3 linked regions of the Schizosaccharomyces pombe genome follow. Changing the gene in region 3 together with the main gene of any one other region gives a genetic interaction. Each region holds a gene or a part of one and is shown on either strand. Other genes may lie near its edges.

Region 1 (4,269 bases), on a different chromosome or scaffold from region 3:
GTTTTTTTAAATACAACAGCAAAGTTCCGATTGACAAATTATATGTTAGCTTCTGTGACGCCGAAATTTACGTTTTTTTAATTTGTAAGAGGAATAATTCTGGCTTACTTGTTTTCCAATAACAAGCCCGTTTCTCATAATCTTTTTATTTTGTCGTTCACTCTGCAGATCTAAAAATGGTGACGAATCTTTGCTAGCAGTTGTATCTTCATTGTCGTCAATGCCATTTTCCGCATCTTCGTCTATTTCAGGAAGACCTTCTAAATGACTTTTGGAAAGATTCATTGAAGGGGGCACTAAAACGTTAGTTCAGGTACAAACAGGAGAAAACCTTACATTTAACAAGACGATTTTGTCGTTTAATTTTTTTCTTCATAGGTTGTGATATGTCTCTATCTACAAGGCTTTCTGAAGATGAGCTACTAAAGCTTTCAAACTCCTGCAATATCTTCTCTTCATTTGATCCGTAATCATCTTCAATATCTTTTAACTCACGAAGCATTTCACTGAGACTTTTTCGGCATGGCGCATTAACTCGAAGTAAGTTAGGAGATGTATAAACTTGAAGGCGATATGAAGAGGGGGTTTCAAGAACGGTGGGAGTATGTTGAGCCACAGGTTCGGGATTTTTTGATGGAGTAGTCGGTATCATAGTTGATGAAATTTCACTAGTGTTATGTTTTATATCCGAAATTTGATCCACATGAGAATCTGCAATGGGAGACATGTCTTCAAGAAGGTTAAGTACTCGACGTGACAACTGTGGAGTAGGACCTAAAAGACTTTTATCCACAGTTTTCGGAGTAACCTGTAGATAATCATTTCGGGGCGCTTTAGGACTCTCGTTCGCTTCAGTTTCAGCACGCTGTTTTGTAGGAGTTTGAAACTTAAAGTCGACCTTTGTTTTTGCTTTTTTAGGGGTAATGGAGGATTCGCGTTTCAACTCGTAGTATTGCTTATATAAAAGCGCTAAAAAAGTTCGTTAGTTTGCTTCAAAAATTCAAGTGTATCTTTGGCTTACATACCTATTTCTGGTTGTTTCTTCACATCCTCCTTAGAAGGTTTGCAATTGTTCGTATGGACGTACTCATGTTCCCACTTCTTTAAGAGCGCTTTTATACTAGATATTTGTTTAGTTCGTGATTCATCGTGCATGATTTGCCAATTAATGCACTGCCTGGACCCAATTTCAATTTTGTAGTGTTCGATTCAAACAACTGCAAAAACAAACTCAAAACAAAAAGAGAGGCTAATCTACATAAACATATATTTCTTCTAATTCTATATGTGGAGAAATACCATTGCACAGAGTTTGATACGTATCTCGAAATGCAAAGTTGAAATGTTAATTATGCTTTAAAAGTAAAGTAGATGCACTAATGAATGCTCCATTTTACTGCTGAATGTTTACGCATACGTTAAGCAGTTTTTTAAATTTAAATAACGTATAACGTTTAAGTACGCTGTCGTTTCCTTTTGATTTATGGTTGAGCTGTATGTAAATAACCTTTGTTTTTAGCTAAACTTATTACAATATGACTGTTCAAATCGATGAATTGGACGACAAAGATTTGGATGAGATAATTGCAAACGGAACACTTGATGGCGCGTAAGTGTGAATACTGAACAATCTTAACTATGGACTCGATTGAGCCTCTAAAATAATGAAAATTCTCTAACAATTTTCTTATAGTAAACAGGGAGCTGTGGATTCAGAGACGATGATTCAATATTATCGCCATCTTTTTCCGTGGAAATATTTATTTCAATGGTTAAATCATGGTCCGGTAGTCACTAATGATTTTGCTCATCGGGAGTTCGCGTTCACACTTCCTAATGATGCTTATATTCGTTATTTATCTTTTTCAAATTGGGAAGAGTTAAAAAAGGAAGCTTTAAATTTATGCCCAAGCCGATTTGAAGTTGGACCCGTTTATAGTGCCAATCCCAGGGACAGGAAAACAATAAGGAAGTCAACATTTCATCCGCTTAAAAAGGAACTCGTTTTTGATATAGATATGACTGACTACGATGATGTACGAACCTGCTGCTCAAAAACAAATATATGCGAAAAATGCTGGCCATTTATTACGATCGCAGTTCAAGTTTTAGATATTTGTTTTCATGAGGACTTTGGATTTAAACACATATTGTGGGTATACTCTGGTCGAAGAGGTATTCACGCTTGGATTTGTGACGAAATTGCTTGTTCTTTAGACGATCGGTCTCGTAGAATGATTGCCAGTTATTTACAGGTTGTAGTAGGTAATCCTCAAGGTGGCGTACGACTTATTAATAACTTAAAAAGACCCCTTCACCCACATTTGACTCGTTCTCTCAACATTCTCAAATCGGCCTTTGTAAAAATTGTCCTTGAAGACCAAGATCCGTGGGCTTCTAAAGAAGGAGCCGAAAACCTTTTGAAATTACTACCAGACAAGGATTTAGCATCTGCTCTTCGTAAAAAATGGGAGGTTGATCCTGAACGATCTAGCAAAAATAAATGGTCCGACATTGACACTGTCTTAGCATCTGGTTCTATTGCCTCTATATCTCCTTCAGTAATTGCGATTGCCAAGCAGGACATTGTTTTAACCTATTTGTATCCAAGATTGGATGTTGAGGTTTCTAGACATTTAAACCATTTGCTAAAATCTCCATTTTGCGTCCACCCCGGAACTAGTCGTGTTTGTGTTCCCATAGATATAGAGAGGATGGATTCTTTTAATCCTTTGAAAGTACCCACTGTGAATGATCTTTTGCAAGAGTTGGATAAAAATTCCCAAAATGATAACGGCCATGGTCCAACAATGGAAACTAATACAACAGAAAACCAAAAAGATAATGCTAGGGGACAATCAAACAAGGGGCATGGCTTTTCAACTTCTCTCAATCCTTATACGCTGTACTTTAAATCGTTCAGTAGCCAGCTTTTTAAAGAAACAGTAGGAAATAAAAGAAAACATGAGAATTTGGAATTTTAAAATCGTATTTCAACAATCGATTCAAGCTTTAACTAAAAATTTGGGCATACATTTACTCATGAAAGGATGGAAGCTCTGACTTCTATTTACGTGGAGCATATTGTTTTCCGTTAAATCGACAGTAATAATATATTTTTTAATACCTCTTTATTTATCCTTTTTTGCTAAATACATTATAATAATAAAAACCAAAACAAATCAAAAGCATAACTAGTATGATTTTAAACTAGCGATTTAATTTTCTTTTTCCAATTCACTATCAGATTGATTTGACTGAGACCTAGTATCCTCAGAAACATCAAACGATTCGTCGCTTTTAAGCAAAATTCCCTTTCTTTTTGGAATGACCTCCATGAATGCCTTTTCCCAATCTCTGTACTCTAACCAAAGAGATAATATTTCAAAGACCTGATTAACCGTAAGTATTTTCCTATCCGTAATTTTAATGTATTCATCAATTGGAAGCTTTGCAGTTTTGATCCCTTGCTCAGACGCTTTATTTTGACATAAATTTTTGTACCGATTCTTGTCGACAATCGCACCAATAATATAAATCTTGTCTTCATCGAGTTCGGTGATGGTGTTATCTGAATCAGCAGAAAGATATACTAATTTTTCTTTTTGGGATTCAAATTCCTCTAAATAAGACTTAGTAGTTGGGTTGTATCGTTTCCAATTATTTTGTTGCCCCTTTAGCACAAAATCTTGTCTGGTTTTCAAACGTCCACCAAAGTTGGTAGCAAAAAGTTCTACAGGATGTAAAGCTGTACGATTTGCAGAATGACATCTAGTAACCTGTTGACATAAAGAGTTGATTTCTTTATCGTTCATCAGATCATCAAATGCACAATCCAAAACAATTCGGATACTACTAGGAACGACCTTTCCTAGTCTGATCCTCTTCTTTTGACTTTTAACTACTTCGCCAGCTTCAATTTTTCGCTTTCTTTCCTCTTTTCGTAATCGCTTTTTTTCCCGGCGCATCTCTGCTCGCTTTTCACGACCTGCATCCCACTCTTGCTGTCTTTTTAATCTTTTTAATGCAGATTTGCTAAGAACGGGTTGCTCTTGAGTTTCATTTTTAGAAACGTCAGCTTCAGAAGTATTTGTGTCATCTTTACCAATATCTAAAGCGTCTTTGTTTTCCATAATTTCCCAACTTTATTGCAGTCAAAATATAGCCTAAATTTATCTAGTTATATCGTTATTTTGAACCTAGCCAGGCTGTTCATCTAATGGAAAAAGTAAGAGTGTTGTGAAGTATAAAAAGTTGGTAACTACGCCA
Region 2 (5,503 bases), on a different chromosome or scaffold from region 3:
CAAAATATTTTAACCTTAGTTCAACAACATTCCCTTGACCATCATGCTCGATTGTCAGCTTCAGCAAATCCCCGTCACCAGTTTGTAAAAGATAAAAAAACGATCCTTTCATTTTATGGAGAACAGCACTAACAATCAAAGGACCATCATTTGCAGAGTTTGAATTGACTTGATTCCATGGAGTGGATATGGCGTTTGCCGATGCAGCTTGACGACGCAAAATGGGAATTTGATGAAATGCCTTCTGAAGGTGACGGTAGGAAATCCATCCGTTAGATATTACTAGTGTACCGGAGGGCCCATCATTACCACCGGGAACAGGGATTAACATATAAGAATTTCTGTCAACGACCTTCGACCATCTTTTGACAACATGGTTTAATCCCAAATCCAATTCGTAATATGATAAAACCTTTTCCGAAGATGTAAATGCTTCTCTAGTTGAGTCATGGTCTATTTCGCTGTAGTCGACTTCTAAGGCAGCGAAGATGGGATTAGCATAACCAGTATCTAACCCAATTAAATGGAAACATATATTATTAGCTTTATGAGCTTCAAGTGGTGAAGATATTGTTAGGTTAGCCTCTGAATCTCGATTTAGTACGTAAACCAGCTTATTTTTCTCCACAGATGCAATCATAGCGGCCCTCCCCTTCGCATCTATGGCTAAGTATTCACCAGGAACAACTCTTCGAATTCCTGATTTTCCAAAAGTTTCCTGGTATATTGGCACTAATTTATTTTTTTCAACGTTATATTCCAAAATGGTTATTCGTCCTGAATCCGACGTGACTACGAGATAATCGCGTTTAAAACCAGTTAATCTCAAAGGAGCAACATTTCGAATAATACCAAAACAATTTTGATTTAAAATACAATTCATTCTCCCATCAGTTGCATCAACTTTATATATAAGCAACCTTGATTCTGTAGCAATTACTATCTCCTGTGCCTTTTTACCAGACAAGGACGCGGCACACGAACTTTGAACATAATTACTATTCTGTATTGTTAAGGAATATAGAAACAGAGAAGGGAAGGTGTCCATCTCTATACTTTAGCTGAAACACGATCCTCGCTGAGAGAAGAAGTCAGTGTATCAAGGAAACTTATAGCAGAAGGTAAAAAACTTCGTTATATGTTGACTTTTCTAAATGAAGTTATTGCAATTGAAAATATTGTATAAATTTTCTGCTTTTAAATTATATTAAAGAATTAAAAAAAAGAAAAGAAAATTTAAAAGACCGCTACAAAAAATGTAACTTGCTCTTCAAAAACAAGAAAAAAAAAACATTACGACCATTAAACATAAGCTCATTAAAAAGAGAATAAACGATATCTCGAAGATTCCCTTGAAATAAGGACTCCGTAATCGCTATTCTCAGAAAGGGCATATTCGAGTGTTGAAGGAAGGAAATCCTTCTCAAATTCATGCAGCCATAGGCAACTGTTTAGTGGAATGAAAGGAAGATGACTGATAGCATCAAGGTAACTGTTTTTTTGCTGGTGCTCAAAAAAGGTTAAGGGAACGTCTGCTAAGCAAATTTCACATAAGAAGCACTTCTCCTTTAGTTTTCCAAGTATTAAAATACTACTTCCGTTTAAAAGCTTCATGTCTAAAACAGTTGCGGGCTGGAAATCCAACAGACTGCTTCCTAGTAATTCTGCATAATCCAAGCCAAAGTGGCATCCAGATACAGGCAACATAGTATTTTCCATAAGTTGGGAAATTATTAAGAATATATTCGGAGTATCCTTTCGAAAGAATAATGAAAATAATTGGTTTTTTTCATTACAGGATTTTGGTATAAGAGATGATACATTCCAATCAGTCCCTTCAAACAAAACAAGGTCTCCGGTTTTTAACCATTGCTTTTGACAAGTTAAAGAAGGGTAGCTAAAAATGACGTTGAATGAGTCTCTTAAAGATTCTTTCAAGGTTTTGAATGATACGAAATCATCAACAGAATTACTGTCGTCTTGATTTGCAAAATCCTTGAGAGAATAATAATCAGGATCTCTTAGCTGAAGGGGTTTTGTGCCCATAAAGTAACTTGTTAGTTTCGAGCGGAATAAAGAATGACGAATATAAATTACGGTTTCATTAATATGTTCAATAATCTCTTGCGGTGGAATAGAAGATGGTTCAGAAGTATTAAACTCGACGATAGCGTAATTCAACCATGAAATAAAGTGCTTCATATACTTTTTTTCCTCAAAAAGGCAATTGAGAAACGAAAAAACATTATTCTGTAAATAACCCAAAGTTGCTAGACAATCTTCCACCAATTTAGCATCTAGTAATGTGTTTCCCTTCATATGGCCCCATATTGACTTTCCTCTGGCAGAAGATAATAATACAGTTAACCTTTCACAAGCAGGTATTACGAATTCCTGACAGAAAATGATTAAGGACGTGTACGAATTCACCATCGCCCGTTCCCAATTTTTTAGTACTCGATCACCGACTCTTTCGTTGATCCATTCTTTGAGTAAGTCGCTGGGTATACCGTTCATTATAAATTGATATAACTCTAGTTGTAAAGAAAAGAAAGTTGTGTCACTGTACTTGGACACTAAAGCATCAAAGGTTTTAATAAAGCTAGCTTCTGATTTGAAGACATTGTCAAATTCTTCATACATAGCATTCAATACCTCCTCAAGATATCTTACCAAATGTTGCATACGTGTAGACATTGTTGCAATATCCACAATACTTCCCAAATCATTTTTAAGTAATGGCATATAAAGTGTTTTCAAAGAAATATTCGTTCCTCCTTTACAAATAAGAACATGATATGCTAAGTCGTTGGTTATGCTGTGTGAAATGGGAACCCCCTATAATTTGTGTGAGCAAGACATTTAATAACATGGGTATAATACCAAGTTCAAGGCTGATTTCAAAGAATCGCTTTCTCCGATTTTGTAAGACGAAAACATACTATGAATAGTTAGTACTTCTAATTTGTATCGATCGATAAAAAAACTTCTTTTAGAAAGATGCTAATAAATAAGGGGTTTTTGATACGCACTTTATGTATCTAATTCCACGTTCATCCAAAATACTTAAGAGCTCAACTTTTTTGTTATTTTCACCCTCTCGTTTCCTCGGCTCAAAAAATTGTGCGATTGCTTTTGAAGAAAATATACGTTCCCTAAAAAATGTAAGAGACAAGTCGCTTTGTGTTACTACTTACTCTTTTGCCGAACTAGGAAGTGTACCAAGTAAAGGCATATATGCAGTGGCATCAAATAAAAAATCATTGCGTTTTTCATTTACTATCGTTTCTTGCATGGCCCATGTTATCATTAGAACCGCTAAATCTCTGGAAGCTGGCCTTTGCTCAACCAGATGTCCTGTGGAGGAATCAATAATTTTAAGCTCTCCATTTTTAAATCCAACAACTATTAAATTCCCTATTTATGTTAATGATACAAAAAAAGTTTTCCAGTCGAGCCACGTACCATCGTGATTCCAACACAATTCAGTAGCCTCGAGATCATGAAAATCGACATCCCAAATTCTTTGACTGTTACTTCTACAGCAAATCAAATGATTTGAACACGTTAATATCGCAATGAGTTCCATAGAAGGGCATAAGATTACTCGTTTAAGGCCACTTCCAACCCTTTCAACTCTATTAGTTTCATTAATCCATTCAAATTTATGCTTTTTAGGGTATTTGAAAGATTTTGACACCATTTGGATAAGACTGGATGATTTTGGTGATTCGTAGAAGTTTGTTTATTGTAGTACAGCAAGTCAATAAAAGCCTGTTCAGGTATATAAAATATCTAGTGAATGGATAGTTTCAACAATTATCATACAACCTTTTTAAATTTGCTAGCATAGATGGTTTATTAGGAAGTAAGACTGATATTGCAAAACTGAAGTTGATGAAAGTTGTAGGGATACAAAACATTAAGAAAGCGATTATCCAACTGTGCATACCTCGTTAGTACGATGTTTATTTACATCTAAAGAAAAATCATTTCCTCATGGTTCAAGTTCGCTTAAAATAATTCTTTAATGATAAAAATTTCAATTGAGTTTGGCAATAAGAGATTCACTTTTAATAATTGCTGATTGCTATGTTTTAAATACATTGTAAATAAACCAATATTATTCATTAATTCAATAGCTGAAATTCTAGAATCGTTAAAAAAGTCTTTCTTTTACGCATTATATATCTTTTAATCGAAGGAGATGCCTCATAGTTGGCCTTCCATGAGGGCAATTCCAAGGCTTGCTCAACTCAGCAAGATGCCTAACTATTGTATTCATTTCGGATATAGTTAGAGCCCTACCAATCATGACACTGCTTCTACAAGCCTTTGAAGCAAGCATTCGCTCAAGCCTACTACTAAATGGGTCTATCTGTGGGTGCTCAGACAACACACTGATGATCTCTAGTAAATCTACAGAAGTTAAAGGTCAAGATCTTCGTTAATAAACTTACCACTAGTGTCAAAAATGACATTCTTACTCGTGGGAACTGAAAGAAGAGTGCAGCGATTACCAACTCGCTGATTTAAATCTATAGCAACGCCGAATCCTTTTCTTCGAATTAAATCTATATGGTCAATTAAAACAGTTTCCTCTGTAGCAGCTAAATCCAGTCTTTTTGGAAGGACTAAGTCTTGGCTGTTGATAACTAAATTACTTTTGAGATGTTCATAGTTGAACTTTTCATCGCTGGCATGTTGATCAATTATAAACAAATTGTTTCCATGAACAACCACTATGAATCCTCTATTGAATTGACCAACAACCCTCATTCTTAAAAAATCGGCTTTATGTACAGTTAGATTCAAATGATCTTCCTGATTTTCATCTGAAATATCATGCACCACGCCAATCTTGTTCGAAAATTTCAGTAAGGCATCGCTTCGAACAATATCTTTTTGCACTCCACTCAAAGATATATTTATTTTTTTACTAAACTTGTTTAAACCATCCAAGGGCCTAGATTGAAAAAATTTGAGCTTTTGTAGCGCTGCAGTTTTTGACGGAATTCTGTTCGCAACACTGGTTTGCTCAGTACGAGGAATGCTCGAGAGTGTGGAAACTGATTCTGCGTTGTGTACCGACTCAATCTCGTTTAAATTAATTGTTTTAGCAACAGGTGTTGATGCTGGACTTGGATCATTTAGTAACAAATTGTTAGGATTCGAGCTAGGTTTATTGATGGGTTGCTTTAGTGGGAAACTAGAGTCTATTGTTTTCTGCATAGAAGTATCAGTACTAGAAGCGAATAGGGCAAGCTTTTTCTTCATTCTTTCGGAAGAGGCCGTAACTTTTTCGTTTAATGGGCTACTTCGTCTCATAGAATCCTTTTGCAAACGCTCTGGCAAAGGTTTGGATACTTGTGCTAATGACGCTCCTTCTGCAACACTAGTGGATATTGCTGGTTGAGCAGTAGCTTCTACGAGCTTTCTTTTACATGGTGAGCGTTTATAAGAAAAACTTGAGTCATCACTTGTTTCGGATTCTGTTGCTGGA
Region 3 (6,303 bases):
GTAAATTCTATTTATCCGCCGGCACAGATCAAACTACTAGATTGTTTGCACGTTTTAAAAAGGATAATGCTTGGCATGAAATGGCTCGACCTCAGATCCATGGCTATGACTTAACCTCTATATCCTGTATGCCTTCTCGAATTGGATTTTTGAGCTGTGCCGATGAAAAGGTGTCTCGTGTTTTTAAATTCCCTAAAACAATTGTTAGACTTCTTTACCGTTTATGCGATACCAATATTGGGGAGGAAAGCTTACCTGATGCTGCAAATGTTCCTTTACTAGGTCTTTCTAATAAAGCTACCACTGCATCTGAAACTGGTACGGTAAATGCAGAAGAAGTTCAGACTCCTGTTGCTGATGTGATTGGTTCTTTGAACCATCCTCCTTTTGAAGAACACTTACAGCGTTTGCTATTGTTTCCGGAAGTTGAAAAATTATTCGGCCATGGTTATGAGGTTTATGCATGCGCCATATCTAATAATGGTAATATTGCCGCGACTTCTTGTAAATCACAAACCCCCGAACATGCTGTCATTCGGTTATACGAAACGCAGTCATGGAATCAGCAGCAAGTCCTTAAAGGTCATTCTTTGACGGTTACAACTATAAAGTTTTCACCTGATGACCGATACATTTTAAGTGCTGGGCGGGATCGGTTGGTGTGTTTGCATGAGCAAGCCGAAAATTTATTGGATTATAATAACTTTGCTTCTATAAAAGCGCATTCTCGTATTATTTGGGATGCTAGTTGGGCTCCCAAAGAAATGGGTTACTTTTTTGCGACTGCTTCGCGTGATAAATTCGTGAGTAATTTTTTATTTGATCAAATCTTGCTAACTATTTAGGTTAAATTTTGGAAAATCAATGACAATAAAAAAATATGTGATGTTGCTGCTCTCCAATTTTCTGATGCTGTTACCGCTGTTGACTTTGCTCCGTTCTTTCACAACGATGAACTCTTGCTTGCGGTAGGAACTGAAGCTGGTAAAATATTTATTTGGAGATGCCCGAGAGAGAATCTTACCAAATGGTACCCAACACGTTTACCAGACCACATGGCTCCTATGGAGTCAATTAACCAAATTTTATGGAAGCCCACTTTTGAAACTATGGGGTTGTATTCTCTTTTAATTGCTGGCGAAGATACCAGTGTACGACTTTTGAACGTTACGTTGGGATAAACTTGAAAATAAGTACAATTGGTAATGTTAGATTGGGTTGGCCTGTTTTAAACATACCTGAGGGGTGGTTAAAAATGCTTAGATAAATTATTTATTGTTATAATTGTCGATAAATAAAAGGAAGGTTAATGGGTTGTTAGGTTGGCATAATTAGTGCTGAATGGTAGACATTCATCAGATTGATTCATTACTTTAGTTGTTATATATATATATAAATATGTATTTTTAATTATTAGTATCAAAAACTTTGGTGTAGTAGTCTTCTCAATTAACTCAAACACAATTTTACATGTTAGAGAAAAAAACAACACATAAAAATTTTTTTTAAAAATAAATTATATTTAAAAGGTAGATAAGGCAAGATTTTAACTAAGAAGTATTTTCAAGCGTAATAGAATGCAAGTTGTAAATCTAACTAAGAACATTGATTACTTCTACGAAATTTAGTTTATTTTTTTTCCCTTTCTATTACTCGTTTACATTTATTGAAAGAACGGAGCAAGCTAGGAAGTAATTTATATTCAACTGAATGACTGCATTTTCGGTAGTGTCCAAAAGTAACACTTACCAACTCCAAACATCTATTTTGCAAACCTAAGTCTTAATAAAGATACTTTTTATTAAAGGCTATATTTTCTCAGGTTTGAATTTGTTGACTCAACGAGTTAATACTTATATACTCCGGCCTTGCTAAATCGATATTCTGTAAAGTTTGACAGTGTTGTATTTGCCTACAGGCTTAACGAGTAATTACTTATTATTTATTCAAAAAAGGGAGAAAAGGTACTAAGTACAACTTTTGAGTTTTAGAATTGGAGTTTTGGGAGAGCATTTGCTGTTTATTTATCTTATACGCTCCTTTAATTTTTGGCACCCCGGAGGAACATGAGCCAAGATCAAGAAGAAGACTACTCCAAACTTCCTCTAGAATCAAGAATAGTACATAAAGTATGGAAAGTGCGTCTATCTGCTTATGAAGAGTGCAGCAAATCGTTTTCACTTTCAGCAGATGGTTCGGATAATTGCTTTGAGCTTTGGAATAATCAGAGTGAATTGTGGAAATCAGTGCTGACTGATAGCAACGTAGCAGCTCAAGAAGCTGGTACCGCAGCGTTTGTAGCTTATTGCAGGTTTTCCGATCCTTCTCATTTACTTAAAGCTCGTGAAATATCAGTCCTTTCAATTTCAGAGAAATGCTTAACATCACCTCGCGCAGGTACAAGGGAAAATGCACTAGAAGCTCTTATGCTATTAGTTGAAGCAGATTCAGCTGCGCCAGTTATAGAATCAATCATTCCTTCTTTATCGGCTCGATCCCCGAAGGTAATAGCTTCTAATGTCGCTGCCATTGCTAGTCTAGTTGAGCAGTTTGGTGCTAAAGTTATTCCTTCAAAAATGATTATTCCACATATCTCCAACTTGTTTGGTCATGCTGATAAAAATGTTCGTAAGGAAGCATCTCGTTTAACTGTAAACATTTATCGGTGGACAGGGGATCCTTTAAAAGATTTACTATTTAAAGATCTAAGACCAGTTCAGACGAAAGAGCTTGAGTCTCTTTTTGCTGAGCTACCAACAGAGCCTCCCAAACAAACTCGTTTTTTGAAAAGTCAGCAACCTACATCAGAGCCGAATGTTGAAACACAGGTAGAAGAGCAACCTGCTCTCGAGAATGAAGAAAGTGAACCAGAACCGTCAGATGATCAATTTGATTTGGTAGAAGAAGTGGACGTTTTACCCAATGTGGATCCTAACCTGGAAACTTTAATGGCTTCTTCGAAATGGAAGGATCGTAAGGAAGCGTTAGACAAACTACTTCCTGTCTTATCTCAACCAAAGATCAAAGACAACGATTTTTTTAATTTAGTTGCTATTCTCACAAAGTCTGTTTCAAAAGACGCAAATATCATGGTGGTTATAAATGCTGCACACTGTATACAAGCGATGGCTAAAGGTTTACGCTCAAATTTTTCGAAGTATGCCTCAACATCTATTAATGCACTGTTGGAACGATCCAAAGAGAAAAAGGCTAATGTAATCGAATCACTATCTTCTGCGATGGATGCTGTTTTGGCTACATCCAGTTTGGATGACTTAGCCGAGCTCATTGCTAGCTTTGCCGGGAACAAAAATCCTCAAATCAAAAGCTCCTGCTTTAGTTTGTTCTCGAGATCTTTCAGTAATATGACATCCTTACCATCTAAGTTTACAGTTGATACCTGTGCTAAAGCATGCGTTCCTGGTGTTTCTGATACCTTTGAGCCGGTGCGTAGTGCGGCAGCAGAAGCCTTGGGTGTTTTGATGAAACTCGTTGGTGAAAGAGCCATTAATCAGTATTTAAGTCCGTTGGACGACATCAGGAAATCTAAAATTCGTTCTTTTTATGAAACAGCTACAGTAAAGGCTAAGGCACCTACAAAAAAGTCGAAAGTTAAACCTTCAAAACAAGAAGAATCAAAAGTCGTCGTACCTTCAAATGCTAAGGCTGTCAAGAAATCCGTTGTTCCTTCTAGTCCAGTTGTACCATCTCCACGAAAGGCAACTAACAAATCGCTTTCCATGGATGTATCAAAGGGTAATGCATTTGAGAATGGTCCTTTGTTACCAAGACCGACTACGAGGCCAGTTTCTCGAGGGCTTTCACGAGGCACATCTTCCAGTTTGCAACAAAAAGTAAAAGCTTCCACTCCTTTGAATTCGGGAGCACTTAACGAAACGGTGCAAAATTTGAAGAACATGGAGTTGGACGATCCGGCTCCTCAACCGGCTAAGCATTCACGAGTTGATCGTTATGAACACCCTAAAGTATTAGAAGACAATGACTCTACCATTTCGTCTTTAGAATCTCTGAAGAGAGAAAACGAGGAGTTACGAGAGCAGTTGAAAGTTGAACATGAAGAGAATATTTCTATGCAAAAACAACTCAGTGAATTGAAAGGTGAATTAAATACCTTACGCAGTGCCAGGAAAGCCTCACCAATAGGAGACAGAAAACCTGCATTTATGCGAAGAGCTAATACTGACTTTTTAGAGCTCTCTACGAGTCCCTCATTTCAACGTTCAGTGAGGGAATTTGAACCTACTAGACCTAAACTTTATAGCTCTATAGATGTGAATCAGAGATCCCCTTTAGCATCTGCGAAAACAAATGGTAATTTCACGTTTCATGCTGAATTACCAAGATCACCGTTTTCGTCAAGGGCCAATAATATCAATCCTGATTGGACTAAAGCCATTGATTTAGCTGCCAAACTAAAACAAAAAATTACTGAGATGAAACAAACAGACCAAAGACATCAGGGATTGATTCACTAGTTTTTAAATTCTTTCGTTTACATTCCAATGTCCCTTACTTCCCTTTCTATTTTTTAATGTTTTAGAATAATGATAATATCGGTTTACAAAAATAATAACAAAATACGTATTCTCGTTTATACCAAATTTCTTAAAATCAGATTTAACTATAGGTTAAAGATGGAGTCAAATGGTAACTCAAACACACAACACAAACAAACATATAAAATAAATAAAAGAATTTTAACGTACGAATTTATCGCATTAAACGTATTAGTGTCATTAAAAAAAGTAGTCTGTTTAATTTTGCATCACAAGTATACTGTATAGCCGTACCAAGTATAAACGAAAACCTCTTTTTAAAAAAATTAAACATAATAAAGAAATTGTTAGAAGAAAAAAAATAAAGATATGCGTAAAGTACAGACAGTCGAAAAAAGAGTAACAATCACATGAGTCTTTGCCCAATGAAAAGTTCTAAGCTTTGTTCAAAAAGTCCGGAGGACTGATGTTGCTAAAGTAGTCCAAAGAAGCGGTGGAAGGAGTATCGGCATCACCATCATCGTCCTCCAGGTAGAAATAAGAATCACGATAAGGGGAATAAGGCGGTAAATGGGACAATTCCGACTCTAATTTCCTATGAAACAGATATATAGGAAGCTTAAAATCCAAGGAATCTAGCCACTCATTTAGTTTTTTCGCATTTTTTCGAGAGTATTTAGATAAATTTGGTAGGGAGGCTTCGGAAGGAGAGGCTAAAGATTGCTTTACGCTGTTTTCAGTATCGCCATGCCAGCTTCCAGAAAGCGAAGAAGATGATGATGAGGGTCTTTTCATAGAAAATAGTGAATTAGATTTAGCTTTGTGAGTCCGAAGGAATGGGGGAGCGAGTTTTCGGGATAAAGAGGAGGGTTCACGAGAGTGAATTGATACATAAATTGAATGTCGCACAAGGAGGTGTGGATTTTCTGTACAGCTTCCGTGAATTAAGTCGTTCACAGGAATTGTGAACTCAACTCTTGAATGGAGGCCAGGAACAATAGGTGGAGACCACTTACCATCCTCAAAAAGGACAGTAATGGAGTTTCGAAAAGCATCATTAAAAAGAAAAAAGGTAATGCTTTGGACAAGAAGCACTCGTATATAATAGCGTTTTAACTTCTTTTCGACTACAGGAGACGAGGTACGAGATAATGAAGAGCGTCCTTTCATATCACAATCATTACTCAAACGTGGTAACCGATCTTGAAAGATAAATTGAGAATCTTGGGAGTTAATAGCAATGGGATCTATATGGGGATCATCTGTTCCAGCAGAACCTGGGGTAGATGACAGTACATCTGCATCTTCGGACTCCAAATCAATTAAAAGTGGGCAAACACAGCCTGGTCCTTTATAGCACTGTTGAGGATATTTAAAGAACGCAGTTAGAAATGAATACTTTGAAGACTTCATTGATAGCGAAGTAAAACACGCATCGTTTAGGGGCGCTCCATAACGTATGTGCTGAGATTCAGGAATTCGATCGGGATTGAGAGTAAAAGGTACAACTACAGGAACATTGGCTGACTTTGGCATACGACAATCATCTTCAGTATACAATTTAACCGTTAATTTGTAAGAAATCGAACCTTCTTGAGTCACAATCGTTCGTGGGGTGCACCTAGGAAGTGGAGCAATGATATCAAACGTATAGAAAACTCCTTCCTTTACTTTGAAATTATTTCCAAGATCCCAGTCGATATGATTGAAATGACACTCCAGCGGTAACTGTCTCTCAGTAGGAAACTTTTTCAGACCAGTAAAGCTTGCAGTAAGGTATTTACAA

What was found. A genetic interaction does not mean that the proteins touch.
Region 1: of alp14 (region 3) and spp1, extra expression of one rescues a mutant of the other (dosage rescue), as found in Schizosaccharomyces pombe (one study listed by BioGRID).
Region 2: of alp14 (region 3) and cut20, extra expression of one is lethal in a mutant of the other (dosage lethality), as found in Schizosaccharomyces pombe (one study listed by BioGRID).

Annotation. Positions count from the first base shown.
Region 1 is NC_003424.3:2,427,884-2,432,152, reverse strand, and holds spp1 (DNA primase catalytic subunit Spp1), read left to right. Parts: upstream 1-1,517; 5' UTR 1,518-1,535; coding exon 1,536-1,609; intron 1,610-1,693; coding exon 1,694-2,984; 3' UTR 2,985-3,177; downstream 3,178-4,269. Other genes in the region: drc1 (DNA replication preinitiation complex assembly protein), read right to left, coding at 46-296, 337-969, 1,026-1,155; tRNA m(1)G methyltransferase Trm10, read right to left, coding at 3,219-4,133. UniProt on the Schizosaccharomyces pombe protein: Catalytic subunit of the DNA primase complex and component of the DNA polymerase alpha complex (also known as the alpha DNA polymerase-primase complex - primosome/replisome) which play an essential role in the initiation of DNA synthesis.
Region 2 is NC_003424.3:4,040,717-4,046,219, forward strand, and holds cut20 (anaphase-promoting complex platform subcomplex scaffold WD repeat subunit Apc4/Cut20), read right to left. Parts: upstream 3,909-5,503; 5' UTR 3,704-3,908; coding exon 3,466-3,703; exon of another isoform or gene 3,418-3,465; coding exon 3,198-3,417; exon of another isoform or gene 3,156-3,197; coding exon 3,033-3,155; exon of another isoform or gene 3,013-3,032; intron 2,942-3,012; coding exon 2,884-2,941; intron 2,858-2,883; exon of another isoform or gene 2,839-2,857; coding exon 1,318-2,838; 3' UTR 1,093-1,317; downstream 1-1,092. Other genes in the region: prp12 (U2 snRNP-associated protein), read right to left, coding at 1-1,048; MutL family mismatch-repair protein Pms1, read right to left, coding at 4,184-4,419, 4,461-5,503.
Region 3 is NC_003421.2:1,009,696-1,015,998, forward strand, and holds alp14 (microtubule polymerase alp14), read left to right. Parts: upstream 1-1,747; 5' UTR 1,748-2,066; coding exon 2,067-4,496; 3' UTR 4,497-4,619; downstream 4,620-6,303. Other genes in the region: elongator complex subunit Elp2, read left to right, coding at 1-803, 846-1,181; SPOM_SPCC895.08C (uncharacterized protein), read right to left, coding at 4,953-6,303. UniProt on the Schizosaccharomyces pombe protein: Required for bipolar spindle formation and proper chromosome segregation. Has a role in connecting the kinetochores and the plus end of pole to chromosome microtubules. Also required for the activation of the spindle checkpoint pathway.